4 linked regions of the Drosophila melanogaster genome follow. The protein of the gene in region 4 interacts with the protein of the main gene of each other region in a pairwise test. Each region holds a gene or a part of one and is shown on either strand. Other genes may lie near its edges.

What was found.
Region 1: the proteins of CG43386 (region 4) and MESK2 interact in a two-hybrid assay, tested with the Drosophila melanogaster proteins (one large-scale study listed by BioGRID).
Region 2: the proteins of CG43386 (region 4) and sle interact in a two-hybrid assay, tested with the Drosophila melanogaster proteins (one large-scale study listed by BioGRID).
Region 3: the proteins of CG43386 (region 4) and CG15296 interact in a two-hybrid assay, tested with the Drosophila melanogaster proteins (one large-scale study listed by BioGRID).

Annotation. Positions count from the first base shown.
Region 1 is NT_033778.4:21,499,148-21,506,717, reverse strand, and holds the start of MESK2 (misexpression suppressor of KSR 2), read right to left. Parts: upstream 4,622-7,570; 5' UTR 4,239-4,621; intron 572-4,238; exon of another isoform or gene 383-571; intron 1-382. Other genes in the region: TAF1C-like (TATA box-binding protein-associated factor RNA polymerase I subunit C-like), read left to right, coding at 5,173-7,570.
Region 2 is NT_033777.3:10,331,187-10,341,731, reverse strand, and holds sle (slender lobes), read right to left. Parts: upstream 8,618-10,545; 5' UTR 8,456-8,617; coding exon 8,419-8,455; intron 8,336-8,418; exon of another isoform or gene 8,243-8,335; coding exon of another isoform or gene 8,236-8,242; coding exon 8,149-8,235; intron 8,082-8,148; coding exon 4,573-8,081; intron 4,511-4,572; coding exon 4,289-4,510; intron 4,225-4,288; coding exon 3,787-4,224; 3' UTR 3,467-3,786; downstream 1-3,466. Other genes in the region: CG18545 (uncharacterized protein), read right to left, coding at 114-649, 710-773; CG12592 (uncharacterized protein), read right to left, coding at 1,181-1,621, 1,686-3,256, 3,317-3,329; CG12818 (uncharacterized protein), read right to left, coding at 9,133-9,876, 9,935-10,034, 10,091-10,113; Bruce (BIR repeat containing ubiquitin-conjugating enzyme), read left to right, coding at 10,545-10,545.
Region 3 is NC_004354.4:10,564,166-10,570,286, forward strand, and holds CG15296 (uncharacterized protein), read right to left. Parts: upstream 2,427-6,121; 5' UTR 2,394-2,426; intron 2,334-2,393; 5' UTR 2,324-2,333; coding exon 1,814-2,323; 3' UTR 1,677-1,813; downstream 1-1,676.
Region 4 is NC_004354.4:9,973,195-9,980,894, forward strand, and holds the start of CG43386 (uncharacterized protein), read right to left. Parts: upstream 4,212-7,700; 5' UTR 3,965-4,211; intron 1-3,964. Other genes in the region: CG15252 (uncharacterized protein), read right to left, coding at 5,011-5,400, 5,526-5,585, 5,652-5,795, 5,855-5,923, 5,978-6,187, 6,305-6,424, 6,573-7,343.

The sequences.
Region 1 (7,570 bases), on a different chromosome or scaffold from region 4:
TCTATTCCACATCGAATCGATAAGAATGTTCTTAAACGTTCCAGTGAGTGCACTATGTGACTTGACATGACATGAAATAAGCATTATTGGACTTATGTTAATCAGAATCTGGTGCACCTTAAAGATCAGCCGAATCTCAAGACCTTCAACCTCACTTTCTGCCATCACTATCCAAGCTCCACTGCAGGGGGGAGCACTGAGCTGGGGCGTCAATGCTCGTACTTGAAACAAAATATGCAGGCCAAGCCGCGAGAGGAAGGCGATGTGGGTATGTGGGTTTTGGATCTGGGTTTGGGATTGGGGCACACAGAGACTGCTGCAGCTGCAACCCCCCCGAACCATTCCCATCTCCTACGTCGCCAATGTAGCACATATGCATTACATTAACCCAGTTTGGGCCAAGGGTTGAGGCCTGCTCTCCACGTGCCCTGGCTTGAAGCCAAAGTGGAACGGAGGCATGAAAATTTCACACATCCCCGGGAGGCCACACACATCTTTTCCTCCTCCCGTTCTCGTTCGTCGTGTAGTATTTTTTTTTTTTTTTTTTGCACTGATTAAGTGCGTCATGCGGCTCGAATTTATCAACTAATAATCACCGGACAGCAACGAAGCAAATGCAAACGCTTCAAGCACTCCAAATGCTATGACGCAGCTCCAGATACAGATAATTATATACATGTTATGTACTGGTTGGTCACTGGGCAAGTGTATAAGTTCAAACGATAAACAAAACAAAACTCGTTATGGCTACTATTTTTTGCGTCTTAGGTTTTAGAACCCAGTCAAGCCAAGCAATTTGAATTCATTTCCGAGCTGGGACCTCAGTGCGTATGATGAATGTGGCTCCAGGGTAAACATACAGCAAAATGTATACAAGCCGGATGATTTGGGATGCCGAGCCAGAGTTGTTCTAGAGTTTTATTATTCAAAAGCCAACGACTTAAGTATTTTATTGCTCATTTAGCTGCAATGGTAACTGCATAATTTAGCCATTCGAATTGAAACTTTAGTCATAAAATCACGACGTAAAATGAAGAGAATGGCATAAGTCGTGACTTCCAAATGGAACGATGCATCGCTTTTATGGTTTCCAGCTATCTTATCTTGGTAGCTGCGATTCAAACTGGATTCTTGACTCTCCAATATCTTTCGAAACATCTCATCAAGCCTTATCTTTGGTTAAACAAATAACTAAGTTAAGTAAGTAAGTACAGTGAAATCATACAAGACAATTCTTTTATCAACTGTTATTGAAAGGAACATGCTTGATTTCAGCTGATCAAATAAAATGACCAACTTTTATGGCATAATTACTGGTTTTATCAACCATATAACTGATGAATAATCACACAAAAACAACAATGATTTGTTGCCCTAGTCTGAAAACCTAAACACAAATGACACCGCATTTAAAGTTGCCAAGTACATGGGCACTCGCAAATTCCGCGGCCATCCTTCGCCACTAAAAAAGCTGTTAGTCTAGCTCAACTTTGACCTTTTGCTGCTCGATTTATGGGCGCTGATAAAGTTGCGCTTGCACTTTTCACCTCGACCACACGAAATGGTATATGATATAATGGGCCTAGCGCCATATTTCTACATATATATGTACATATAATGTAGTAATGTATAATGTACTATAGGCTTATTGGTGGCAAGCGATTTATCAGCGGCATCTGGGCCACTTCAATTCCAATAATTGCAGCCCAGCGTGTGCCATTTATGGCGAATTATTCATAATTGCGATTGCACGTGAAGAGTGCAGAGGAGGAGCTTGAGGTGCAAGCAGCGTGGAGCCATTGAAATTAGCCATCGGCTAGAGTGGGACGGCGACAGGCGAACGACGTGCCCTGGCTTTTCCGTTTTTCCGGCCCGGAGCGAAAGGAGCGCACGGAATATCGACAATTTGGCAGGTCGCCCACGGCAACCGTTGGCAGGTCAACGGGCAACAACAAACCGAAGCTCAAGACAGCAATCTGAACTCAATCTACTGCTGAACTGTGTACTTGATTGGGATTCAATGCTACTTCGGATTTACCGACTCAGAAGACTAAATAATTACGATTTTTTTTCTTCTGAGAACAAAAGTGATTTACATAATCCTTGAGCTTTTGATTTGCTTTAAATGTATCTTTTTCTACTTAGACGTGAAAAGAGATAATTTTAAAGGAAGTCTGCTGTAGTTACATACATAATTCATTGTTAAATTATCATTTAATACGTTTAATGGCTCTTGTTTTTTGTAAGATCTTTCAGTGTTCGATTTCCTTGGAAGGTGGCTAACAACAAGTTCTCTGCTGCCCCTAAAAATACTTGCTCAACTATTGTATTGACTGCAATTTGTCCGAGTCCTTCAAGGATATCGCCTCCGATGTGGGAGGGGGTACAAATTTGCAAAACAGAAATTATTCAAATGTTCTTTGGGGGGCGGAGAGACAAGATACCCCATCGGTAGGGGGCGTGGCAGGGGTTCTGGGGCACCGACAACGGCAGCAAATCACATACAGGAAATGTCACGCTATGTCAAGCCGCAGGCCAGCAGGAAAAAAAATCGTACAGCCGAAACGAACCAAATCACACGCTCAACGTCAGAGCGTGTTGTTGCAGGATATGGGAGAATATCAGTTGGGTAGGTGGGAGGCTAGGGGCGTGGCACGGTGGGGCAATGAGGGGCGGCGCAGGTTGCCCTACTGTTACGTGTTTGCAATCGATTTGAAAGTTACATAAAAACAGAGCCGCAGCAGACCAAGGGCAGAAAAGGGAGAAGGTGCCAGGGAAGTTGGTAAACACCTGAGTGGCCAACAAGAGCGTCAACAACAACAACAACAAGAACAACAACAGGAGCAGCAACAAGGCGCCAAAAGCAATTTGTGCGGCGAACTTTTTATTGTGTTTGCCTTCTGAGTAAACTGACCTACGCATTAAACATGCAGGAAAGTTAAACATCAGATATAGATACGTATACATACATGTATGTACTGGACTCAGATACTCAGGAGGACGAGACGAAATCCTGTCCATGGCGATGGCGCCGACAGGTTACAGTAGAGCCGTTAAAGTGGAGTCCTCACCCATTCATTTCCACACCCAAAAACCGCTAGAAGCAATAAAATTTCACAAAACAGCGAATAACAAATGTCTGCAGGAACAGTAAACACTGCCAATAGGTAAACCAATTAGGGCAACTATTAGAGATAACAGTCAAGTCGCTTTTAATGAACAACCCCATTATTCCATTTCGCTTTTCCTTTGTTTAGTTAGGAAAATTGGTCGACTATTGTCTAGAAAATCAACTCGAAGTTGATTTGAGGTTTTTTTGCGAATTGCCTAGATCGTCAAATTTCTTATTTAACTTAATTGCAATTCAGAATATGGAAAAAAGGTGTAGGAATCAAGGAAACCTACTAATTTAGAATCCCAGGACAACATGCAACCGCACTTTTTTTTACTGGCATAACTTGGTTTTCAGCACACAGGCTTCACTGTGGCAGCTGCTGAAATGATTGCGGCGAAGTTTTCTGGAGGTCGTTTAGAGTGGAAAAGCGCCAGCTCCGAGAGAGGGAGAGCGATAAAGAGGAAGAGAGACGGAATGGAGCGAAGGGGAGGGCAGCAGGGGTCCATTACGTCAGAGCCAGAAGCCATTTGGGTTTTGTCAAAAATTAGCAGTTAGGAAAAGCGAGGAAAACCCAAACGAAACCAAAGCCAAACATACACAAAAAAAAAACGAATAACGAATAAAAACGAACATCATAAATGGATGAATTAGTACAGATATGGCGAGCAACAAGAACAACAACGACAAAAACGTGCATACAACAACTAACTGTTAACTAAGTAAAAAGAAGAGTGCGCAAAATATACAATAGTGCTAATTGAAAAACAGATACTGGGATGCAAATGAAAAGTTTTAGATGAGGCAGTGTGTTTTCTTTTCTTTTTAATGGGGGCGAGCGCAGAGAGAGAGAGACAGGATAAGACAGAGAGAGAGAGAGAGAGAGAGAGAGGGAAGAGTAATAGATAACTGCAACAAAACAAATGCAAGCGGAGCGAGAGGGAGGGGAGTAGGATTAGAACTGGTTAATGTTATCTTCCAGACCCGCCCCTCTCTTTCACACCTTTCCAATTGGCATTTGTTTTGTTGTCTGTTTGGCACTTGTATGTATGTTAATTGTGCCCGTTGTGTGCGGTAGTGTAGGTGTGAGTGCAGGTGTGTGCGTGGTTGGATTTAAAAAACTCACCTGACGCTTTCCGTTGCTTTTTCTTCTATTCTTTTGTAGGCCTCAAAATTGAGATAAAAACTACTACCGCTTTTTACCAACGCCTTCTTTTTGGCTAACAAAAAGAGACCGTTGTTTTAACTGCACTGTCTATGAAAAAATCAATATTCGGTCTCGACCAACTTTTTTCTTCACCTTTTCTTTTACAACTTGTGTAATTTCTGTGCTCGTTCTGTTTCATTCACTTATTCTCTCGCTCTCGCGCGCACGCACACACACACACACGCCCGCTGTTCGCGATTGCCAGTAATTTTCGGGGATCAATTTCTTGTAATTTCTCCAGCTGCTTTCAAGTCTTTAATTCTCGGTCTCGATGCAGCGCAAAGCAAATTTGATAGTGATGGGGAGAAACATCGATGCATCGGGAATCGATGTTTTCATATAGGTGCTATCGAGCTAGCCGATATTTTAGAAATAGTATCGCCGACCAGCGATACATCGTCGCTTATCAAAACATCGGATTCTTAAATATTTTTGACTTAAAAATGTAAATGTTACTTATTATTGGTGTCTAAAACCTTTACATTTCTTTAAAAAGGTATTTTACGATGCTTTTTTTTTCAATGTTACATTTTTGCACTTCCAATGTAATGTAATAGATAATCCAAAACCTATATTATTTTAATATATTGTGAATATTTTGCTTGTAATGCTCATAACAGCAAGCATGCGGTTGGGTAGACATAAATACCCATCACTAATCAGCTGTTTCTTGCGTCCAGAGGAAACGTCGTGCGTTTGGCGTTTGATTGAGTCAAATTCAATTTGTTAACTAAATTCTTTCGTGCAGAACTGGATAGCTGATCGAAGAAATCCGTAAGCCAGGCTCACATGCATCAAAACACATCGGCCAGCTAGCAAAATCCGATTTCTTATTTATACTCCAATTACAGACATGCCGCGACGCTATCAAACAGCTCTCAATTCGGCCAAATACAGTGCCCAGGTCAAGACCAAAACTAGTGACAACGAATCCGATTCCGAAGATGATCTTCCGCCGGATCAAGATGCTGAGGATAACAATGAGCCAGATAATCTGCGCAGCATTTTGGAAAATGCGCCGCACTTCTCTTATCCCGGCTTGAACACTGGAATGTTGGGCCAACTCTTGTACGATCATCAGGATAATCCGAAGCAGGACTTGCCAAATTGCTCGGTTACGGTGCCGCTACCCCTCTTCCTGGCAAAGGATGGACAAACTCCCCGAGTGGAGGCATGCGTCCAAAGGCCATTCCGCTACGACGATTGGACACGGCAATTGCAATTAGGCAAGGCTATATTTGATAGGCGACTTAAAAATATGAGACAGCGTGTACAGAAGCAGGAGCAAGGTGTACACGATGCCAGTCTGTTTGAGATGGCTGAGCACATAGCCCAACAGGAGAATTCCTTCTTCAGGGACAGCTACGATTACTACTACACAGGCGGAAACCTAAACACGATTCCGTTTGATGGAAACGATCAGCTGGCCATGCATGTCAGCGGTAATAAGCTCAGAGATTTGCACTTTTCCCGAGATTATGGTGAGGCGGAGTTTTGGCAACCATTGCATTCGGCTACGATAGAGGAATCCTCCAGCGAAGTCTTTGAACTTCTTCCGCTCCACAATTTAAATCGCAGTCAAATGTTCCTGGCACGGTTGCTGAAGGAGGTTTCCCTATACGAACTTAAATGCAAAGACGAACAGGATTCGGATTCAGATTACGAACTCATTCGCCATTGCATGTTTAGCAGTCAAGTAGCTCCTTTTACAAGCGCTGCACAATCATTGGCCAATGCCAATACATTGGCCTTAGCTAGCCAGGATAGGTCTTTGCGCTTCGTGGATATTTCGACACAACAGGATATAGCCAAGCTTGATGTTTGCTTGCTAAAAGGACTGAAGAAAACCTCGAGTACCTGGGCACAGTTAAAGCAAGCAGAGGAAAGCACCTTTCACTGCCTAACACAGCCAGTTTTGTTTACCGTAGATGTGCGATGCAATCTGCCTCTGAATCCCTGCTTTGCCAGCGGCGTTCACTCAAAAGCTTGCGAGAGGTTCTCTTGTTTGGCCAAGGGTGTGAATCCTAATCTCTTGTATGTGGCTAGTAATCACAACTTCCACTGTTTGGATATCAGATGCTTGGGTAAAAAGCTGACCGATCGAGCTGTCGTCACCTGGACGCATCAGATGACCTATCCACCCTGTTTTATTGACACAAGCGTTCACCAGGACAGTGAATATATTGCGTTAGGTGGACTCTTACCCAAAGATTTGCGAATTTGTGAACTGCAAGGAGCTCAGGCAAAAAGTGTCGATGAAATGTTCTCGCCGGCAATACCATTTGCGCCGGTAACCCTGGAAGAAGCTTTAATAGATGCTCGCTTGGGAGGATTTGTGGATGTCTATGCTGATATAGCAGAGCGGGTAACGACCTGCATTACAGGAATGCGCTTTATTGGCTTAGAGGGGGCCAGTGATCAAGCTTTTACCCAGTTGCTAACCTCCAACAGCTTGGGAGATGTTTACTGCCAAAGACTAACGCTTAGGGATGAAGAGGAGCATGTCCAGCAGATCAGAACCGGAACTCATACAACGGAAGCCATTCGCTACCTTGCCAATGCCGTTAATGAGCGCGTCCAACGCGAGAACATCCGCTGCACACAAGTCCAGTCGATACCAGAGATAAGAGACATCTTTCGAGATGGTGCCAAAAGATCAAAACCTGAAGAAAAACCTTTAATCGTAGAGGAAATCGAAATTGACTATGGCATAGAAGATACTGATGTTTCAGAAGATGAAAGCCCAGCCTCTGAAAAGGTAAAGGAAGAACCTTCGGAATCCAAGAAAGGTGGTAAGAAAACGCCTAAGAAAAAAACCAAGGTGAAACCAAAACGGCAACCCAAAAGGAAAGCTGCCAGTAAGAGAAATGTTAAAAAGCAGAAGAGCATCAGTCGCGGTCCCTGGCAGAAATCCGCTTACAAGCTGTCCCACTACACGGACATGATGTCGACCCGTTTGCTGGACGTGTGGGATATGGAGGAGTACGACACCACACGAGACGTAACAAGAGAAATGTTCGATGAGCGTATAAAGGGGAAGGAGCTGGAACCTGAACAACGCATGGCCAATTGGTTGGAACAATTGCCCAGTCAGACAGTGGTACCCACTGAGGACGAGGTGACCGAGGGAAATCCCGACATGGTTCCCGGTACAAGTCTACCAAAGCTATATGGCGCCACTACAGCGAACTATTCAGTCATTCCAGCCCTTAATTCCGATCAGGACATCGGAGAGCGCCTTTTGAGTCCCA
Region 2 (10,545 bases), on a different chromosome or scaffold from region 4:
TTGGCGTTGTCCTTAGTCAACTGACGGGACATTAGTTCGACTCATAAATAAAACAACAATTTTACTATATATATAATACAGACTAAATATTCAGTATTCATATTGTGGTAAAATTACTGCTCCCCAAGCCAACTGACCGAACTGCTATTGGTTGTTTCAACTGCAGACGGTTCCCGGATCACCAAGACGTAGCCAGCACTAGTCCAAACACTAGCTACGTAGATTCCAAACTTTTTACGCAATATGATTGGAGCCGGTCCCTTCAGAGGTGACTGCTTCATTGATATGACCTTCATTTTGGGAGATCTTTTGTAAGACTTCTCGTCGGTGTCCTCCAACTTAACGCGCTTCCTCATTTGTCGCAAGCCAAATGAGCCACGATTTCCAGATGTATCCTTCTTCCGAACCGGTGGTAAATGCTTCTTGGTCTGGACCTTCTTTTTGGGTGTTCTTTCGAACGATTTCTCCAACTTAATGCGTTTCCTCATCTGTCGCAAACCTATTCTCTCAAGTTCTTCTGAAAGATCCGAGAAACTGTCCGAAATGCGTTTGCGCTTCGAAAATTCTTTGAATTTGCTGGCCACAGAAGAGGATAGCGACGAAGACAGTTCATCCTGGATGTAGGCTGCATCGCCAATTTTTGCATTGACTAAAAGCAAAAATCGAAATAGGATACTAAATCTTGAGAATAGAATAGCATTTTACTTACAAATTGTTCGCATTGCGAAATGGTGAGCCATATGTGAAAAAATATGAAAAGTTTTGTGCAACATGACGGACAGGCAACCGCCAGCCTACTTTTCCAGAGAATTGTCCCCGAATGTTCGGACCCCTAATAAAAAGTTTCCTCCTTCATTTTGTATTTGTATGGGTAGGCTTTATTTTCTATTTCTCAGATGCTCAAAAAAAAAATGGGACAAGTTCGAAAATTTCTTAATTGATTTCATATCTTGATTGGATCAACAACCAACTTGCTAGCGTTAAGTGTGGTTAAGTGATGTGCAATTGAACAAAATAATAATATATGGCAAAGAGCAAGGGCTTGCGTAACAAATAACCAATAGAACAAATAATAGAATCAAATTCAATCGGGGAAATGCTAATGAAAAGAAACAAAAACTGAAGTATGCATTGTGTACACTTAACATTTCCACTAATTTTTCTCTAAATGTAATGTATCCTAAGATCTGCGAGCAAAGATCTGCTCCTTGAAGCGCAGCGCCGCCTGTTTGGCGGAATTGTGTTCGACCTTTGGTGCTGCGTGCTTGGCCCGCTTCCTTGACATCCCGGAGGGTCCTGGCTCCTCGCGGAACCCATGCATTTTCGGTGTGGGCGGCAGCTCGCGGAAATACTTCTGTTTGGGTGTGCACGGCTCAACTCGAACCATGCCCGAACTTGTCTTAATCAGCTCGATTATGGGAACTTTAGTGGGCGGCTCATCGACCACCGTCACGTAGCCAGCATTTGTTCGAATACGATGGCCGTGGTTCTCCTCATCGGAACTCTTTAGCGGTGATGCCTCCTGGGGCTTTTGCTTCTTCTTCCCCTTCTTCTTCTGTTTGGCTGATTTCTTGTCCACCACTGGCGGCTGTGGCGACAATTTGCGCGAGAGCGTACGTGGCTGCGGAGGAGCAAGGACTTTTGGTTATACTCTTATTATTTGTAGGCGACTAACTAACGCTTACCTCTGCTTCGGTGGCTTTTGGTGGCGCCAGAAGATTAACAGCATGACTCACAGCCTGGCGCGCTGCCTGTAGGCGCTTTACATCCTTCTTCAGCGCCGGTGGCGCTGAATTACCTTCTTCAGGTAATTCCGACGCAGATGGTTTCTCAGATGAAGTAGTGGGCTTTTCTTCAATAGGAACTTCACCATTCGAGACTTCCCCGTCGCTGTGATGTTCCTCGGCGACAGTCATTGTTTCGTTTTCGTTGTCCTCCTCCATTGAATCCGTGGAAGCACCATGTGAGCTCTTAAGGCGCTTGCGCTCGTGCTTAATCTCCATTTCCTCAAGATCCTCTGGTGCGCCTGATAGGCTTTTCGACAGGCGCTTGCGCTTGTTTTTCTGCCTCTTTTTCTCGGCCACCATGTCAACAAAGGACTGCGAGGGGCAGAAGTCATTGCCAACTTCAACCCGTTCACTACGGCGTCTCAGTTTGGGATTCTTGGCTGCCAGCTCGGGACTGGGGACATGTAAGGACTGGCGGCGGGATTTCTGTAGAGGGTTAAACATTTTTTCCAAATGGCTTAGATCACTAGAGGCCAATTCGGCGAGCAGAGCTTCTTCATCCGCAGTTGAAATTATGGATTTTTTGATTGTGGAAGGGCTTTTGATTTCAGATGGTTTATCTTCATCAGACATCTCGGTTTCGGCTTGTTTGTCTTTATCAGACTTCCCGTTTTCGGCCGGTTTGTCCTTATCAGACTCCTCGTTTTTACCAGCCTCCTTAGGGTCTTCAGTTTCATAAGAATCCATTATTTCGTATACGCTTTTGTTGCCTTTGGCTCCAGACATTTGGTCCATGAAAGATGTAGATTTTTTAATTTCGGAATGGTTTTCGCTTTCAGCTGGTTTAGCTGCATCACTTTGGTCTTGATCTTGCTCTTCCTCGTCATCAGAATCCACGATTTCGTACAGGCTTCTGTTGTTCTTGGCTCCAACCTTCTCTGTCTTCTCCTCCTCGTCGTGATCCGAGGAGTCTACCTCCATGACGCTGATATCGAGTTGCGTTTCTGTCTTGTTAAACCGCTCCGATTTGTTCAGTTCGTTGAGAGCGACTTGGCGAGATCTTTCCAGCTCGGTTTCCGAGATGGAAGATTTTTCCTCACTGACGTTTAACAGTTGGGCCGCTTCGCTCAATTTACTGGCATTGGATGAGCAGTTACTTTGGTTTTTGGGCTTCTCTGTTTTGTTCTCACTTGAGTCGTCATTGGTCTGAACTTTTCCATCATGTTCTTCATCACTGGGGCTCGCTATAATAATGCGGCGACGTTTCACGCTATCCTTCTTCCGAACCGGTGGTAAATGCTTCTTGGTCTGGACCTTCTTTTTGGGAGTTCTTTCGAACGATTTCTCCAACTTAATGCGTTTCCTCATCTGTCGCAAACCTATTCTCTCAAGTTCTTCTGAAAGATCCGAGAAACTGTCCGAAATGCGTTTGCGCTTCGAAAATTCTTTGAATTTGCTGGCCACAGAAGAGGATAGCGACGAAGACAGTTCATCCTGGATGTAGGCTGCATCGCCAATTTTTGCATTGACTAAAAGCAAAAATCGAAATAGGATACTAAATCTTGAGAATAGAATAGCATTTTACTTACAAATTGTTCGCATTGCGAAATGGTGAGCCATATGTGAAAAAATATGAAAAGTTTTGTGCAACATGACGGACAGGCAACCGCCAGCCTACTTTTCCAGAGAATTGTCCCCGAATGTTCGGACCCGTAATAAAAAGTTTCCTCCTTCATTTTGTATTTGTATGGGTAGGCTTTATTTTCTGTTTCTCAGATGCTCAAAAAAAAAGGGGACAAGTTCGAAAATTTCTTAATTGATTTCATATCTTGATTGGATCAACAACCAACTTGCTAGCGTTAAGTGTGGTTAAGTGATGTGCAATTGAACAAAATAATAATATATGGCAAAGAGCAAGGGCTTGCGTAACAAATAACCAATAGAACAAATAATAGAATCAAATTCAATCGGGGAAATGCTAATGAAAAGAAACAAAAACTGAAGTATGCATTGTGTACACTTAACATTTCCACTAATTTTTCTCTAAATGTAATGTATCCTAAGATCTGCGAGCAAAGATCTGCTCCTTGAAGCGCAGCGCCGCCTGTTTGGCGGAATTGTGTTCGACCTTTGGTGCTGCGTGCTTGGCCCGCTTCCTTGACATCCCGGAGGGTCCTGGCTCCTCGCGGAACCCATGCATTTTCGGTGTGGGCGGCAGCTCGCGGAAATACTTCTGTTTGGGTGTGCACGGCTCAACTCGAACCATGCCCGAACTTGTCTTAATCAGCTCGATTTTGGGAACTTTAGTGGGCGGCTCATCGACCACCGTCACGTAGCCAGCATTTGTTCGAATACGATGGCCGTGGTTCTCCTCATCGGAACTCTTTAGCGGTGATGCCTCCTGGGGCTTTTGCTTCTTCTTCCCCTTCTTCTGTTTGGCTGATTTCTTGTCCACCACTGGCGGCTGTGGCGACAATTTGCGCGAGAGCGTGCGTGGCTGCGGAGGAGCAAGGACTTTTGGTTATACTCTTATTATTTGTAGGCGACTAACTAACGCTTACCTCTGCTTCGGTGGCTTTTGGTGGCGCCAGAAGATTAACAGCATGACTCACAGCCTGGCGCGCTGCCTGTAGGCGCTTTACATCCTTCTTCAGCGCCGGTGGCTGCTTGGACGATTTCGCTGTGTTGGTTTCCGATTCTGAGCCGATGGTGCCCAGGAGCTTGGATGGCGCTTGCGCAGCAATTCGCTTTGGCTTCTTTTGCTTTGCTCCGCTGGCAAGATGCTATAAAATATAAGCGAATTTAGTGTGAATCGTAAAGGAGATTTTTTATTTAAGAAACTGACCTCTTTCTTTTCCTTTAACTTAGCCTCGTTGGCAGCTTCCAGGAGGTTGTGACAGTATGCCAAGTAATATTCGGCAGTCTTCTCCACCTTGACCGGCGCCATACCCTTCGGTTTTGAAGTCACAATTTCTGTCGGTCTTTCCTCGGATCGCGGTGAATCGCAAGTTTTCGGCTTCTCCATGAGAAGCTCCTCAACGGCGACAGTTTCTTCTTCTTCAGGTAATTCCGACGCAGATGGTTTCTCAGATGAAGTAGTGGGCTTTTCTTCAATAGGAACTTCACCATTCGAGACTTCCCCGTCGCTGTGATGTTCCTCGGCGACAGTCATTGTTTCGTTTTCGTTGTCCTCCTCCATTGAATCCGTGGAAGCACCATGTGAGCTCTTAAGGCGCTTGCGCTCGTGCTTAATCTCCATTTCCTCAAGATCCTCTGGTGCGCCTGATAGGCTTTTCGACAGGCGCTTGCGCTTGTTTTTCTGCCTCTTTTTCTCGGCCACCATGTCAACAAAGGACTGCGAGGGGCAGAAGTCATTGCCAACTTCAACCCGTTCACTACGGCGTCTCAGTTTGGGATTCTTGGCTGCCAGCTCGGGACTGGGGACATGTAAGGACTGGCGGCGGGATTTCTGTAGAGGGTTAAACATTTTTTCCAAATGGCTTAGATCACTAGAGGCCAATTCGGCGAGCAGAGCTTCTTCATCCGCAGTTGAAATTATGGATTTTTTGATTGTGGAAGGGCTTTTGATTTCAGATGGTTTATCTTCATCAGACATCTCGGTTTCGGCTTGTTTGTCTTTATCAGACTTCCCGTTTTCGGCCGGTTTGTCCTTATCAGACTCCTCGTTTTTACCAGCCTCCTTAGGGTCTTCAGTTTCATAAGAATCCATTATTTCGTATACGCTTTTGTTGCCTTTGGCTCCAGACATTTGGTCCATGAAAGATGTAGATTTTTTAATTTCGGAATGGTTTTCGCTTTCAGCTGGTTTATCTGCATCACTTTGGTCTTGATCTTGCTCTTCCCCGTCATCAGAATCCACGATTTCGTACAGGCTTCTGTTGTTCTTGGCTCCAACCTTCTCTGTCTTCTCCTCCTCGTCGTGATCCGAGGAGTCTACCTCCATGACGCTGATATCGAGTTGCGTTTCTGTCTTGTTAAACCGCTCCGATTTGTTCAGTTCGTTGAGAGCGACTTGGCGAGATCTTTCCAGCTCGGTTTCCGAGATGGAAGATTTTTCCTCACTGACGTTTAACAGTTGGGCCGCTTCGCTCAATTTACTGGCATTGGATGAGCAGTTACTTTGGTTTTTGGGCTTCTCTGTTTTGTTCTCACTTGAGTCGTCATTGCTCTGAACTTTTCCATCATGTTCTTCATCACTGGGGCTCGCAATAATAATGCGGCGACGTTTCACGCTAGACCTCTCAGCTTGTTCAGATTCTTCAGCGTCTTCAATTTCATCCTCGCCAGAGGAGTAGCAAAGCTGTCCTAAATCTTCCTCGTCTTCGTTGTCCGATACAATAAACGAATCGTCGCCATCAGATTCTTCTGGGGTAGACTCCTCAGTATCTTTACTGCCAACGGACTCCCCATCGATTGGAATTTCATTCTCCTCCATTTCCCGGCGAAGCGAACTGTCCATCGAATCTCCAGACATGTAATCTTTCCCAGCATCTTCAGCTTCTAGGTCCACAAATTCGGAAATGGATTTGTCTTCTTCGTGCTCCTCCTCGTTTTCTTCTTCATTCCCGTGGTCTTCAACATCTTCCTCAAAGCTTTCTAGACGAGCCAGGATTTTATTCTCAGCCTTTTGCTTTGACATGGGTGATTGTTCCACCATCTCATCCTTAGCATTCTTTGATTCCAGCTCATCGAATGGCTTGATAGCATCAATTTGAGGAGGTGCTGGATGCAATTCCTCCGTGCTGTTGGACAGGCCACGTTCCTGATCTTTTAATATTGGTGTGGAACTATTACGACCCTTTTGCAGAGCCAGTTTTAAGGGCGTCTCCGGCTTGGGGGTTAGAATGCGACAAACTGGCACCTTCTCACGTCCTGGAGTCTTGGGAAACCGTTTCTTTTCTACCTCTAAGTCATCAGTGTCGTTGTTGAAGTCCACCGATTTTTTTTGCTCCACAGCAGGAGAACGCACAGCACGAGCTCTTATGCTGGGCAGATGTATAACCTCGGTAACATCGATTTTGTTTTGCTTGTCATCATCCATTGAATCATCTGGGTGTACTTCCTTACTGTCTTCGACATATTTTGGAGCTTCCGACGGAAATACCGGCTCATCGTCGTCGAGGTCTACAAACTCCAGTTCTTTTGGTTTCTCTACTGGCTCATCGGTTTGTGGCTCTAACTGAACAATCGAATCTTCTGCATCCAAAAACTCTTGGTCCTCCATGGACTCATCTTTTTCTGGGCTTGTGTCCATTAAGTCAACAGTAGAAACGTTTTGTGGAGTATCTCTTTTCTTTTCTATTTGAGGATGATCAATCAGTTGCTGAGTTTCTACTTTGCTTTCAATTATAGGGGGTTCAATCTTCTGGGGAGTTTCGGTTTTCGTTTTAATTTCATTGTCTACCCCAACGGGCTCGTCTTTTTCTTTAATTTCAGGAGTGCCAACAGTATGGACTTTCTGCAGAGTCTCGATTTTTCTTTCAACTTTGGGGGACTCGACGCGTAGTGTTTCAAACACATCATCCATGTTTTCTTCAATTTTCTTGGATGTCGAGGTTGGAGTTATTTTTGTAATTGTATCTGCGCTCTCATCAGGGTGAAGAGCTTTACTTGAACCTTGAATTTTCGAAAGTGTAGTAAATGACTTCAGGAATGATTGTTTGCCAGCATCCTTGTCAGGTTGGGCTGATTCGTGTGTTTCTGGTGCCTGTGAATGGGCTTCAGTGATAGATTTATTTTGCTCCTCAACAACTCCATTATCCTTGAGTTCATCCGGTACAATCAATGGCTTCGCCTTTTCCATCTTCTTGCCAGAGAATTTGTCCATTGAAAGTTTCTCGAGCCTGACTGCCACTTTGGGAGTGGTTTTAATATTGGGTTTAGCTTTTTGCTCAACTTTGGGTGAATCGTTAAGATCACGAGGCGTATTACTGGACGAACGAGTGGGCATTGGTGGAGTCTGAGACATTGAACGCGTCACTCGTTTCTCATCACTCTGCTGATTGGGTGTGAGTGTTCGCCCTGGACTCGGACTGACACTGGGCTTCCGCTGTGCCTTTCCCTTGCCCTCTTTGGGCACAGGGCTTGGACTGGGGCTGGGCTTTTCCTGCTTGACCTCATTTTCCTCAGGTTCCTCTGTTAGTGTAAGCTGTTGGCGCACAGATCTGGTGTTTTTAGCTGGCGTGCGAGCTGTCCTTTTCACGGAAGAGGGCGTCGTCGGCTCGGGAGTTTCACCGCGTGCCAAGGATGCGCGCCTGGTTCGTGTTGGAGTCCTCACATCTAAAGTGGACGAGTTCAGACGTGTGCGACGTGTGGCACGTGGCGAAGCGGTACCTTTTGAAGCGAGAAATAATATTCTTAGACTTGAAACAACCGGGATCCGAGTTGGGCCACAACTTACCGAGTTCCGCAACCGTATCCAACTGCGGAGTGCTCGGACGACTGTCCGTTTCCAGAAGGGACAAGCGACGAGTTCTAGCCCGGGTCACTACCATATTTATTGGATTAAACGGATAAACGAAAAAATGAATAATGTGTAAGAATAAATTTTATTCGATCGAATGCAAAGGCGACCTGCTTGAGATAGGAGCCCCCCGTTAATGGCTGACTTTGGAGCGCCGGTTTACTTGTCCCGTTGCTTTTTCAGCACAGCACGCTTAGATTCACTCACCGCGCTTTCCATCTGTGTTCTCCGTATTATCATCCATTTGGCCCGGCTCTTTTGTTTTTCGCACACAACAATTAATTGAAATCAAGAGAGTTTCGAACCCGCATGCAAATTATAACAAAGAAATAGAAACGAAGACGCCAAGACGCCGAGCCAAAAAGTGATTTTCACATGTGCCGCAAACTGCGACGTTCTCTAACACTGCAGCCGGCTGTTGAGCATTTGTGTGGCGGCCGTTAGAATTCAAACTAGTATAGTTTCGGGGCTAAATTCAATGTGTCGATAGCCTAATATCACCTTCAACTGATGAATTATCTTAAATTAAATTTTATTCGAAATTAGGTTTCTATCTTCTTATTTTAAGTGCAAAATCACTTAATAGTTCGTCCGATTTAGACGCTGTGCAGCATTGGCCTGTTTCGGCACCGATAAAGTAGCCGATATCATTTAAGCGGAATTATCGCGAAATCTAAATTTAAACCATGACCAAACCGCCAAGACTTCTTGTAACGGTTGAATAACTGGATATTAAAGCGATGTGTTTATACATATGTATGTATTTATAAAAGTACAAATATTTGACGATAATCATTTTTATATTTAAACAAAGAGTATTTTTTTAGACAATTCAATAATAAAGTGTAATTTCTATTTATTTGCTTAGTGATTATATTCATAATCAGGCTGTTAACATTAAGTTGAAAACATAATTAATGGCTAGAGCATATTTTGCTTTGCTAACTCCGGATTAAACTGACTGTTGTACTTTTGGACAACCTTAGGCGTCGAAGCCGGCGTGGATTCGGCACTGGCAGCCACCGGCAGCTCCTTGGGTGCGAACAGAGCCTCGGAACGCTGGCGTTCCGCTGTTTCCCGTCGCATGCGCTCCCTTCTTAGCGTCTCGAGCTTTTCTCGTTTTATGCGTTCCTCGGCCAAAAGGGTCTCCCTTGAACCATTTTTGCTCTTGTGCTTCTTCTTATCTTTCTTGGATTTCTTGTCCTTGTGGGGTATTGAAGGTTCCTGAGAAGGCGCGGGTGTCCTTTCGCGAATTCTTTTTGTGGCCTTTTTGGGATCCTTTTTTTCTGGCGGCAACAAAGCATTAATTAGGGTCAGAGGATCGTGGGCTAGCTTTTGCTTATGATGAGTTTCAGTAGCTGTGGGATCCCCAACTTCTGGTCTTTTGGGGGCTAACTCGTACCAGCTGCGCACTTTCAAAGCTTCATTGGTGTCCTGGCCCAAGTAGGTGAGGTAGCCGATCTGCTTCTCATACTTCTCCTGCTCCTCCTTTTGCTCCTTTTCCAAGTCTTTGTTAGTGGTCTTCACTCTCGCCTTGTAGTCGGCAAAGAGATCCACCCCTTTGGTTGTTTCAGTACTGCATTGCGACTCCTCTCGAGATTCCTTGGAGGCCTTCTCCGGCAAGCCCGATTGGCGGCGCAGGAAGTTGATTCGTGCCTCGCTTTCCTATTTGATAAAAGTACACATTACTATGTTAAATTGACGATATTTGGGCAATACCCACAGCAAATTCCAATTTCTCCTGCCGGACTTTTTCTTCTGCTGCGGCAGCCGCTTGATCCCGGCGCACGCGGGCAATGTTCTCCTTGGTACGCACATGCCAGCTAAGAAATACACGTGAATTGATGAGAGGTATCTTTAGAATCAGTATAAAACTTACCGTTTTTTTGGTAAAATATTCATTTTATTTCCACTTTGTTGACATTCCTGTAATCGATTACTCGATAGGCATCTCTGTCTATCGAATGGCTCTGAATTATCGAATGCCCTAAGCGCAGTAGGCCGAATTTGTTGCTCTCTAGCTTGAAAAGTGGACTATTTTATTTATTTTTTAAATGTGTTTACTTTGCTGACTTGACGTGGCCACACCCACTTACACTCGCGCGCCCCCTGGGCACTCGATTAATTTTTGGCATTCACAGGCGATTGCTAGCAATCGAATGGCAAACACATCTGTCAGAAGGTAGAAGAAGAAGGGGCAAAACGAAGAAGAAGAAGAAGCACAGAGCTCTGTTTCGCAGCAATTATTTTCCGAATTGAATTGCGAAAAAAACCCCTACAGAGTATCCCAACCAGAAGCAGGAGCACACAAATTGCCGCGGCGCACCTCCGGAA
Region 3 (6,121 bases), 590 kb from region 4:
AAAATCCCCAGGAACTTCAACGCCAGCTGTGCCGACAACAGCGCCAAGTACCGACTAACATTCGCACTCTGCAGACACACTGAGAGAAAATATCGTTTAATATATTTACTAAGCGTTTTCAATCCAAACAATATACATTTTCACTGATTTGGTGGATTTCCCATTTCAAAACTAGTAATTATAACTAGCTCTGGGGCATCCGCACACATGATTTCATATTAATAACTCGTAATAGCTCTTTATTTTTGCTCAGTGCAAAGCTGCACAGCCCACGCTTTCGAGCAGCATAAACTTACAACACTTTTACCTCATCATCAAGGACTTGAACTTAAGGAAATTGATTTTATGCAACATTTAGAAGAGCAGCATGGAAATAGAATGTGGCAGCATAAAAGGGATACGACCAGAAAACGAGGACCAGACGTTTTGTATGCTAAACCGCAAAGAAAAATGGTGCCAGCGGTGAGGATGAGTAAAGTGACATAAATAAAATCCGTGACTATAAATCTAAGGCATAAGCGGTTAAAGAGTCAGCCAAAAGACGCGGCACGTAGCCCTCATCCCATCCTTACACATCCTCCCTATCCGCGGTATCCTTTTTTTCAGCTCCACAACCTTTTTCGGCATCCTCCATCAGGAGTCACAGCAATGAATCCCGCAAAACGCAGATAAATATGTAAATAGATACAACGCGGATTATGCTTTGGACAACAATGCAATGGATATACTTTAAATACTGCTTGGTTGGTGGGGCGAGAATTCGGCGATGTTGAATTTATGACTTTAAGTGGCAGCTAAAAATGGCTAATTTGAAGTGAGTCCCCAGGTAAGAACATAGCGAACTTCTAATTAAATGTATGTAAATAAGCTAGAACTAATTAAAATTTAAGCTAGTTTTTCAATCAACCGCTCGTTTCTAGATATTTTCAAAGTGCCAATTGCCTAGGGCTGTTCATAAAGTTTATTTCGCTCGGCTTGAAGAAGGGATTTACTAACCCTCCAACATCTGTAGTCCCCGTTTTTATGACCCACCCACCTGTTTACAATTCAACAATAAAGAAGGAAAACCAATCGAAGTTGGTGAAAAAGGGCGTTTAGTTTTTATTTCAAAAATATTCAATAAAAATGCCGGATAATGTGGATGCATAAAGATACTTTAAATTTGATATTTTGTCTCTTATATTAATTGTAGATGTAACCAAAAAAAAAACCAATATAATGCTACAAGTAACAGGTATCCAAACCATAAAGAAAATTCCAGAGAAAATGGATTTTCATAGGTGAAAAAAAAACTAAATTTTTTATGCACCCGCAAGGGTCACATTAAAACGCATGTTAAGCAACACGCAAAACAACTGGATAAAGGAAATGGGAAAAAGGGTTGGATTGATTTGGTTTGGCTCGCTTGGCTTCAGCTTTTCCTTTTCCCGGGAATGGGGTTGGAAAATCCTTTTTCGCACGGCTTGACTTCGGTTGGCAATGCGGCTCGACTGGCATTTTAATAGACTGTTGACAATTCTCACTGTTTACCGAGTGTCTGGGCGAAGAAACAGTTGAGGAAAAAAATGAGGAAAATTTTGATAAGTACGATTATTGCTGCTCTACAGCTAATTCCAATTGGATTAATAATTTTTCAACAAATTGTTTGGTTAGAGTAATGATTCGAAAGGCGAATTCTTTGGCAATCTAAAATATTTATTGGCCTATTGCAGAGTATTGGGGATTCTAACATGATACATGGTCTTTACTCAAAGATTTAACAATAAGATTTTGTAGAGAGTAAGGCTGATTTTTCTTGTTTATAGACAGTTGTTTAAACCCTCTGTTCAAGAGCTCCATTTCCCTCTTCCCCCGCAAAATTATCTACGGTCTTTGGTTTCTCAAATGGGACTAAATCCTCGAAAGATCCATCGCCAGCTGCAGAATCTGGTGAATCAATAATCAGTTGCTCCTTATTTGTGGAAGTATTCCACCATTTTGAATATTCTTTGTGACGCAATTCCTTGGCCTTTTCCACCAAATCCAGACAGGTGACCTTGGCACCGTCGGCCAATTCCTCCGAATAGTTGGGTATGTTTCGAATGATACGAAAAGTGCCCTTCACTCCTTCATTGTAGTATTTCCGGGATAGCTCACCCACGCTCAGATCGCTCTCATCTAACTTCAGCGTTCGTCGCAGAAGTCCAAATACTGGTTGAAGACCATTGGTGATCTGATCGAGCAGGTGGTCCGTCTCCTCTGTCTTACCCCAAACTCCAACTCGATTGGTTATGTAGACGGTCATCGAGACCGCTGCAGTTCGATACATCAGTGTAGTAAACATTATCGCAGAACTATTCAAAATTACGTTTGTTAATTATTAAACTACCAAGATATCGATTTGGATTTCGTACTCACAACAAACACGTGTGTACCTTAGGACTTTTCGAATAAGTCTAATCGATTTAAAATTATGGGCCTACTACGAGGACAAAAGAATTTTACATGAAAAGAAAAGGCCAACTTTAAGAATCTTTCGCCTTTTTTTTTTTCTTTTTTTTCAAAACCATGAACTAAAGTTTTTAGGTGAGACAAGAGTTGTGGGTTCTTTTTAGTTTCCCACTAGCATCCCTTCATCAACGGCGGTGTTATCCTTTTTTTTTTTGGGGGGTGTGGGCGGCGTGCTATAAAAAACGAATACACTATCCAACCAATAGCGGTAGCACGGAAACCCAAAACAAGTGAGTAAAAATCTAATCCATTACTCAAACCAGCAAACTGAAAAAGTAATGGTATTGCCCACAAGCAGAAAGAAGGAGGCGTCGATTGCGGATGCGGAGATGGCGTTGAGGTTTTGGATGGTGTAAATCTTTTGTAACATTTTTGGTGTCCCCTTTTTTTAACGTGCCCTTTGCACCCCTCTTTTTTTGTGGAGCATATTGGGATATTGTATACGTGTAGTGTACAATCAAAATAATATAACTGCTCATTAGCTAATTACAGAATTGTGTTTGTTATTTGTTTGTAAAAGACACAAAGTAGACACAAAGAAAGCGTTTAATTGTGGTAGTACGTCAATGGGTAGTTAGTTAGTCGCTACAGCCGCCGACAACCATTCTTTACTTCTTTGTTATTTTGGGAAAGGAGCACATTCCGTGTGTGGAGCTACGTGAATGGAAATAAAACTGCAATTCGGTTCAGCACTTGAAAACCAGTTGAATGTCGCTCAGGCGAGTCAAAGGCGAGACGAATCTTCCGGTCCTGTTTGAAGGAACTTTGACACCCGCCAAATGACCAAGCTTCTCTTCTCTTCTCTCTTCGGTTTTTTTTTTTTTTTTTTTTTTTTAATTTGCACAACTTCTGACCCAAATTCATTTGTCACAGAATGAAGGCGGCCAAGCAGCAAAGGACCAAATTCTTAGCCCCTTTGGCGTGAGTCTGCCAACTTTCTATAAATAAATAATAGAGTGGCCGGCAAAGGTGGGGTCAAAAGGGTCCTTGGCCAGGACACATCCTGTGCCTGTGTATCCATTCATTGGCAGAGTCATAAAGCCCGGGAATAAATGGGTCCTGCGTGGCCGAGGTGCAAGGCGTGGAATTGCGGCTGAATGGATTAAAGCCTCTGAAAACATGAATTTCCTTGCGCCATTATTGCACTGAAGATAAGGATTATGCTAGATAAGGATTATCTTATTTCAAACATTAGTTGGTAAATTTAGATGTAGTTTTAACTAAAATATGAATAGGTTTCACTAGTCTTATGTGCCCAATTCATTACAAGCATCCTAGAAAAAAAAAAGGAACAAACCATACCGAATACGTGACTCCTTTTGTGATCCTAATGAGCTGCTTCACTACTTTCCCTTTTTGTGCCCACAACTATGCGCCAGCCCAGAATTTTCCCTTCCAGCTTAATAGCCGGAAATTAAATCAAGATTTGCGGGCTCAACTTTTGGGTATGCCAGCAAAAGATAAAACAAAAAATAAGACGAGTAAAGGAAATGAATACGGGAGACAGCAGCTTTCATTTGCATATTTTGCACGGGTCCTAACTCGCATTTACAATTTTTCATTCATTTGTCCATTCCCTTGGTCTGGTTTAGCCACCCAAAAAAAAAAAAAAAAAAAAAAAACCACCCATTCAACTGACACTTTGACCATGAAAATGAAAATATGTTGGAGTTTTTTGCGGTACTGGCTAAGAAAAATTTGGTAGTCATGTGAGCAGAGTTTATGTGTGTGGATCTGTGAAAAGCGCAAGTGTAATTAGTGTGAGGCTTAACGGGGCTAAGCCAACAAACATTTCGTGGATTGGGTTTAAAAAAAAAAAAAAAAAAAAAAAACCAGACTGCACCAAAAAGTAATGCTAAACTACGGGCAGACCCTTTTTGGACTCTGTTTTTCTCATTTTATCTCTAGAGATTTTCTAAAAATTCTAGAAACAGTTTTTAGCAGAAAATAGGCATTTTGCATATATATATATACTCATTACAAAAGAAATATAGTTTTTAAGTTCTTTCAGCCCACGTATACTTTTAGTATTTTTTTAAAGGCATCGATTTTTCTTGATTTTTTTGCGCAACTCTGACTTTAACAGCATTACGAAATGGCATTTGAATAGTCGTTGTAGCTTTGGTTTTTTTTCCCCACAAAGACGAGAGTCCGATGAATGCAACTGAAACTGAAACTGCAACTGAAACTGAAACTGTCTCTTCTAGCTGATAAATCGCCGGTGCATTATTTACGGTCCACTCTGCTTTTTCAGCTCCATGCATGGTTACTTTTTATGGTCGGTACCTATGACGTATACGCGATATTAGGTATGCGGTATGCGGCATGCGGCATGGGACACCGACACTTTTTGTTTATTCTCTAATTTACTGGGTAGGCCAACAGAAAACCGCACATAACAAACAGCAATCAGAGAAGCCATGTGTAAATGGCCTTGCCAAGTGCCAAGAGTATCGGGAATTATGATACGGATAAAAATTTTTCCAGTTTATAGGAGCGACGAATGAATGGTTACTAAAAAACAAAATACAAAAATGTCAAATATATGATAATTTTGAAAGAATGCGACACAGCTAAAAAAAAATCGAATTATAATTTGTCAAAAAATCGAGGTATTGACTTTTCTGGAAAAATGCATCGTTCCATGGCATCAGAACTATTGGCTATTGGTTTTTAAAAAATCATCCAGCTTTTTTAATAACAGCATACTTAAGCATTAATTGATGAGTTATTAGCGGCCGATGTATGAAGTGAACTTTATCTGTGCATGAATGCATTGAAATGTGCGATATATTGATGTATTGGCGCAATTCGCATCATTCAATCGACTCGAGTAGCTTGACACTCATAAAAAACACATCAATCAGGCGTGTTTAAACGATAGCCATTAACAACGATGATGATGTTGCCGGCAAATCGAGGGGGTGGATCTTTGGGACTATATCTTCTCATTTTTTTTTTTTTATGATTCTGTCATGGTCTCTAGTGCGATTTTATGGCAAAACTTCCGGTAATCAAGGCGATGAGAGCGCAGCTGTTGTTGTCTTTTGCATTTCGTTGTTTTCCGTTGCGTTTCCATTGAAACACCTTCGTCCGAAAAGGGGGCGTGGCTGGGTGAATGGTTGGATGGGTGGCGATGGTGCATTGGACCCCATCCAAAAGTGGCCTTGATGCCATCACCACCACACTGGTGCAGCAGATCCTCAAAACAATGAGCCTTTAAATTGCATCTTCTGATATATGTAGGTACACACATATCGCATCTTGCCATAATATGAGTGCTGATGGAAATCAGAAATAGTAACAAGTGACCATGGAGAGCGGCAATGCCAGACCGAAAGAAGGCGTAAAAGTGGGAGGCTTGGGGAGGTGGAAAAAATACGGGAGCAAAGTCTTTTGATTTATGCGCAGCAATTAATTTTTTGCACATTTTTGCTGCTGCTGCTGCTGCTCGTGGCATGGATGTTACCATGGGGAAGCTGGCGTTGCTGCTGTGCGGATGATTTCGGTGCGGCTGCTGTTGCTGTTGCTGACGACACGGACACGGAACTATGTAATAGGCGACAAAGCATGAGAGGCACACTGACCCAAAATCGGAAAATCATTTATACAATTGAAGTGAAACTCCAAG
Region 4 (7,700 bases):
CACGCTCGGCTGTCAGCGTTTTTGTGGGTCACAAGGTCGGGAGATGTCTCTTCAGAGGCCTCCACCTGCAACACCATCTCCATCTCCACCTTCATCTCAACATCCACATCCACATCTGTGTATCTTTTTATACACATTTTTTTTTTTTTAACAGATCGCAGAACCTGTGCCCAGTGCATGCTCGAGTGCCTCTTACTTTGTGGCCTTAGCTAAATTAACTTTCAATTTTCTTGTCGCAGCACGAAGCCCTTGAAGATGTTTTCCGAAAACAAAAGCCACATTCTGACCCATTTTAGTAGGGTTATGAGTTTAACGAGTGAACAGCTACTGTATTGGACACATGAAATAAAATAATTTGCTGAAATTAAATGATTGTACCAAAAAGATTCGTTTCGGAAGCCTACAATAAGTGCATTGTATTATGTATATATGTATATTTAAAGAAGTATAATTATATTTAAAATACTTCATTTACCTAAAGCTTTTGTGTGGCTTTCATGTTTTCAATTAAATAACAATCACTAGAGATCTGCATGTCAAAAGATCCGGCCAGTTGTTCTGCCTAATTTGGCAGCTCAATTAGCAAATTATCCATGAAAATTCAATTGCAGCTTGTTGCCGTTGAGGCGCCTCAATTAGAACGCTATAATTGCTGGCCAGCCCCGCCACTTCGTCAGTTTGTCAGTGAGTCAATCTGTCAAACTGTCCATCAGCGTTGCAGCGCGTGTCATAATGTTTATGACAGAAAACCGACAACAGAAAACCAGAAAAAAAAATGTTAGCAAAAAGACAGGCGCTATGTGTCTTGGTTTTTATTCAAAGCAATCTGGCAGAAAACATGCCGTTTTGGCCTGGCCAAGACCCCAAAAGCGCCCCAAATCCTTGCCCCCTGAACCCTAGTGACTTTATTCACTACAACCAGATCTTCATTGCATTTCCAGTTTCGCCTTTTGGTTACAATTGTCAGTTTGTGTTGTGTTTTTTTTTTTTTTTTTTTGTGTTTCTAAACTTTAGTTGTCGCGTCGAAAATGTCAGGGGCCGAAATAGTGGGGCAGACGCATTAAATCCGTACTAACCAGTGGCAACTTGTTCTCTGGAAATGGCTATATAGCATACGCCATATAGCATATAGCATAATACCCTTCGCCAACATGTCGGGGCATAATTTGGCATTGCCCAACTGGCGGGGGGGTTATGCAACGGTTGTCATTATGCATTATGCGCTGGCTGCTATTTTTTCTTTCTTTTTTTTTTGTGTGGTTTTGCTCAGTTTTGGGCCATGGCATTAATGTCACCTGCTCATCGCTGTTCTGGCCACAATGACTCCGCTAAGTGCACGCAGGAAAAACAGAGAAAAAAAAATTAATAATAAAATTAAAATGGAAAATAGATATAGTGAAACGGGTAACAGGTCTATTGGGCACCCCCTTGCTTAACGAGTAACCGTTTACACGCCGCAAGTTGGGAAGACGGTCATAACCATTACCCATTAACCAATTCATTTGGACCGAGAGTGCGGCTCGTTAACCAGATGGAGGAGAAGCCAGCACTCGATTCCGCATCCATTTCCATCTAATGTATTCAACTCCGCCGCAGCAATGGGCCTCTAATGAACTGCTGATGGCTTTGCGCAAGTGTTTTACGGCCAGTACATTTGACATTTGACCAAGGAAATGTTTTTAAGACTGGGATTACTTATTAATAAATATCTAAAATATGCCAAAATAAATATGTGCCAGGTATAGGCAAGATATAAAAAAAAGAGGTACCATATATCTTTAAAACCAATCACTAAGCAATAGAACGTCTTGCCAAAGAATTGATATTTTTGTTTTAAGAGATACGTTCAAATGACTTTTAGTTGTTGTGTGTAGACAATCTCTAAAAAGTTGCAATTAACTTAGCAAATCCCACGAAGATTTGCACCACATGTGTAATACTCTAATGGAAAAATAAAGTTAATTCGGTTTATATTAAGACCGTTTGTAAGCCAATCTTTCGCATCGAGTGCTTTTGCTTTGTACCCAATAGCCGGGTCGAATTTAATTGGAAAAGGCGTTGCCGACAGACTAAATAACTGACCACCATTCACTGAAAACTCAGTCTGAGAATTAGTATTAGAATCGGACAAACGAACTTTGTTCTTGGCCAGGCAAAAATGATTCGTTTGATTTTGCGCAAAGGTTGCCGGAGATTCAGATTCTGCTGTCATGTAGCGTTTATTTGTTTGTTCAGCCATTATTGTAATTATAGTATTAATAAATCTCGCCACTGGCGGCCGGCGAAGGTCGCCCCGTAATAATATCATTTTGGCATTAGATATTTTGAAAGGCATTTCAAATCTGATCACTTTGCTTAATTGCCGTGCAGAACTTAGTGCTGTTAAATGAGGCGTAAATTGGAAATCACTTCTAAGCTAAACGAAAATGCCAAAGGCTTATGAAATTGCCAAGCAAATAAAACTCAAGAGTATTAAACATATTTTATAATAGGCAAAAACACTCCGGTAATAACATAAACAGTCATTCGCCCAGACCCGCATCAACTTATAATTTACTGCCCAGGAAAAATATCATCATAAAAAATGTGTGAAAATTCGTATAATACAAGATCTGCGATACGGACTTTAACGCTCATAATTGAAACATAAAGCCACAACATATCGAGTGGTGGATAAGAAATTTCGAGATTTGCATATTAATCGGCCCGAAAAATATAAAAGGGTGCATTGTTTAACGGCCATAAGTTTCTACGCTTTTCGATATCGGGTTGCCACAATCGATTTGCATAACTCTCCCGAAACAACCGCACAATTTGGAGCGTCGCCTGGTCAATAAACTTATTGACCGACTTAGATATGACACCTGCATATATATCTTTTTGTTTATGAAGAGACGCAACCCCCCCCCCCCCGCCGGTTTGCCTTCGGCGGATTTCCAGCTCGACTGCTCCACTTTCATGGCGTTCACTTTCGCTTTTTTCCTCGTTTTCGATTTTATTTATTTATTTTTTATTTTGGCCCAGCTATCATCACTGAGTTTTGTTATTGCTTATGCCTTAGAGTTGATGGCTGATAGCTTTTAGCTTTTGGCCCAAAGCGCGTTGATGGCTAAACTGGCTGCTGTATCTTGGGCTAAGGCTTATCTGGCCAGAGCCATCGATTCGACGAACGACCTTGAGACCGTTACCGGTTTCTTTGGGCCAGGCCACTCTTGCATGGCCCAGACAAGTTGGTGATTTTTTTTGTTTTTTTTTTTAATTTTTGAGTGTCTTTTTAGCTCTGACTCTGGTTCATCCTCAATCATGACAGCGACCAGGGGTCAGGCCGAATATGAGTAGTAGGTTACCAGGTAGTTAACCCCGAAAATTCAAATGAAATGCGAATGAAATAGAGTAAAAAGGAAAGTTCCCTCAAATCACTTCCCTATAAAAACAAAAAACCTTTTTAAAATGTATGTAAAATTTGTAATTTATATAGCATTTTAAGTAGCACGTCAACCAGTAAATGTTGGACACCATCCATATAGCTTAATATAATCAACAATCAAATATGACACTGAACACAAAGCGTAAGTCATAGGAGAACAATAAAACTCTCCCTTTTTTCGGCTTACGATTGGTTAGGCTCTTGTTAATTGATTTATGAAGCAATTAACGCATTTGAATCTTCACTTTTGCATTGTTGACGTCGGCGCTGTTGCCAAATTTCGGTAGCCAAAGCGATTAATGGACGAACGCTAACCAATAGCGCCCCCCCCCTCTTCAATAACCCCCTCCATTAATAGCCCCCCGTAGTGTTGTTTGTTTTTGGAACAGACCTGACCTATGCCAGCATTTTCAGTTGAGGCTTAGCCCAGTTAGCAAGTTCGTTGCCTAAGTCTTTCGTTTTGACATACATTTTGAGCTGGGATTGTCGCTTATTTCCCTTTTTTTCGGCTTTCAGCCGCCTTATATACATACTCACCCGAAATATAATAAAATAAAAATGCGGCTTGCCAAACTTAATTGCAATGCGAACTCTCCGAAGCACCCAAATATATAATTGAGTTCATAAACAATTTCAAAATGCAAATAAACCAGCACAAACACTGAGCGCACAAGAAAAACACAAAACAATAAACACAACCTGAAGTTTTTCAAATTAAAAACGCGACAACTAAACGGCCCGCAAAATGTCACTTTGTCTTGTGAAAGATTCACGCATAACTGAAAACTGAAACTCGCCGCTAAAAAAATATTCAGCCCACTTCAAAAAAAAAAAAGAGAAAGACAGAATGAGAGAGAGAGAGAGAGAGCAGGCGGAAGAGAGAGAGCGAGAGAGTCAGAGAAAGCACCAGAAGTAAACAAGTAAAAGCATTTTAATGAAACCTGTAATCAGTAGAAAGTGACACAATGCCCGCTCCATTGGGCAAGCTACCAAGTAGTTGGCCCACGGAGAAAGGTTCAGGGAAAACTCTTGGGTCAAGAAGATCCAAAAATATTCGCTATTAGGCTATTGGGTTACAAAATATATATTAATTCTATCTTTTTAATTTAAATATTAGTTAATTAAGGTATTGCCAAATGTATTTAAAACTAATTTTTGAAGCGAAACTCCTGAGCCGAAATCCGTAGTTCATTCCCCTGTTCTACCTTCCACTGAACTTTAGTTTGAGGAAATGAACCCAAACAAGCTATTTCACCCCTCAACCTTTACTTAGTTTTTACTTCCGCTCATTGCGAGCTTTCGCTTTTTGCGTTTCCATCCAGTGATTTGCCCCACCGCATCCTTGGGGGAGTGGTTCATTGCAGTGGCTCCCACTGAATTCCATCGGATCTCTTGCATCAGCCGCTGTCCAAGCTGTTACGCCACTTGATTTAGAGCCCCTCTTTTACGCTTTCTTAGCTGCCCAAGTGACCAACAAGTCTTTCTCCTCACTTCTTTATTTATTTCGGTTACGAACTAGCAAAAAAAAAATGGGTTTAACACAAACGATTAACGTAACTATGATTATGTGATGACTAAGCTGGCTAGAATGGCTCATTATGGTAGGGGTTCCAAGATCTATGGTGATCTGCCGGCTTGGCATGATGACCCATGCTGCTGCTGGCGAAAATATTCTTGGCTGCACTCGAAGCTCCTCCAGCGGCTCCCAGACCGGCATTCAAAATCAATCCAAGGGCATTGCTCACCAGATGGGAGGCCACTTGCTTCACAAATCCTCCAGAATCAAAGTTATTTGCCGCCGCAGCTGCCCATCCACCGCCCTCCTTCTTCTTTCGCGGGCGTGGCAACTCCGCACTTCCGTGTCGCTCCTCTGAGCCGTCCTCTGAAATTGGTCGAAACTTTGCCTCCAGGAAGCTGGTGATCAGGTTCTTGGTGAAGGTCAATGGTTGCGGTGGGCCCTCCTCCTCGGGATCCTGTTAAAGATTGTAGAATGTTGTTTATTGCACTCGCTAAATAAATGACGTTCAGGGGTTAGTAACACAGTTATGAGGTTGGGATCTAGAAGGTAAATATATATATAAGCAAAATATATAAATACAGCGCTCAATGCGGCCAGCACAGTGCCCAAGAAGTTGCCTATAAACTGGCCATTGTTAATCTGGAAAAAATAATATATGCAAGTAAAATGACTGGAAATTCATGAAAATAGGTTTGAGGAACCCACCGCTCCACCACCTCCAGAGAGACCATCCAAAGCAGTGCCCACATATTGTCCCAACACGAGGCCAAAGTTCTTATTCCCGCCCAGAAGACCAGAGATCAGCGAGGTTCCCGTTTGAATCAGACCTTGCACATCTAGGCCTCCAGGCTAAAAGATAGTTTTTCTATTTAAATACCCTTGATTGATTGGAAAACTTCAATACTTACTCCAAATAAAGTGGATATCACACCGGTAAGGGCACCAATTAAGGCACCCACATCGGAACCACCTTCACCCTAAATAAATCCATTTTAAATAAATATTTATGGGTTTCTTAGCCTTCCACTTACACCGCTCAGGCTGCTAATGATGCCAACCAGACCGCCACCGCCTCCTCCACCACCTGCTCCGTCTCCGCCATCACCGGGCTCATCCCCATCGCCCAGGTCATCGTTGTCATCCGTGGCCAATTCCGACGAGGAGCCTGTGCCCTCCGCCTCCACCTGTTTCTCCGGCTTTGCTTTCATTTTCGGTTTACCTTTGGCTGTAACATTTGGCGACTTCAAAAGGCCGTGGGACAAAGGGTTAGGTGAACCAAGTCAATGTTGGGTTAGGTCATCATCAATTAGCGGTCATTGGGTTAGTCACAAAGGGTTAAACATGGGTCCTTTGCTCACCTTTACGTTTATATCCAGATCATCGAGTTCCGAAGAGTTGGGTTCTATTTTAATTCGCCTCGGCGGCGGCTGATCCAACATATTTTCCAGGAAATCTTCCTGGAAGCGCAAGTCATGAGCCTGGCGTTAAAAAAAATCAAGCGTTCCATACTAAAGACATGCATTTTTAGCTTAAACTTAAAAGGTTAATCATTTTTATATTCAAAAACCACTTTTGAATTAATGTATGTGATTTTTAAGGAATTGTGAATAATTTCTCTAGTACTACCTCAGAAAGTATGGACTTTATAATCCTCATTTCCTCCGGAATTTGTCGTTGCTCCGCCTCCTCCTGGTTGTTCCGATTCTCCTGTTTCCTCTGCTTTGTTCCATTCTTGATTTGCCTTTTGTGGATCACCTTTTGCTTGGCCTTGGCCAACACTCCATCCTCTCCAGCCTGTTCCAATAAATGCTGCAGAGCCTTGTCAATCTTGGCCTCCAGTTCGTTTTTCATTTGTGGCACCTGCTTGATGATATTCCGTCTCAGTTTTCCCAATCTCTCGCCCAATTTTGGCTGATCCGTGAGATCGGCGGAGAGTTCCTGATTGTACAGCTCTTCCTCCTTTTGCTCCTGAGCCATTTCCCTTAACTCCACTCGGAACTCATGATCATCCTTGGCCTGGGACACCACATCCATCACCCGATTGAGTATTTCCAGCGCCCTCTGATCCCTGGACAACTGCTGTTCGATGGCATCGATTTTGGACATTACACGCCCGCTCTCCGTAAGATTCATTTGGAACAGCAGCTCCCTGACGGCTTCCACCAAATGCTGTTCCATTTGCTCTTCCGCCTGGCGGGCTCCATTCAATAATCCAATGCCCGTTAAAGCGCGCAGCTCATCCTTGGGAAGGATCCTCTCTAGCCTTCGGTAGGCGGTAATGGCCTGCAAATAGTGCGACTGAAATTCCATTCCACCCGGCCTACTATCCACCGATCTCGAGATCAGGACTAAACCGATTAATCCGAGGAGCAATCGCAGCACTTGCAGGTTCTCCATTGGCGGCCGATCGAAAGAAAACTGCGTCCAGGAAGCTTTGTCCACTAGCTCATATAACATCTGCGGATCGTTTGGTTCGCATGGATCCATCGAAACGTTCACGGTTAGTTGGGCGGTGGGCGTGGTTGGTGGATCCTCCCACTGGACCCGCCTTCGTTTTGACGATTGTGCAATGGGTCAATCGTCTGTGGAGCTGATCAGTGTGGCATATCTTATGCCACGGATTGTCGTACGCAAATATAGCGACATCTTAACAAGGGGGCGTTTCATCTAAGGGGGCTTCATCTTTAAACTAATTTAGTTTTTCCAGCTGGAACTAGTTTCTATTACTCAATTAAATGGACTTACAGATATTAT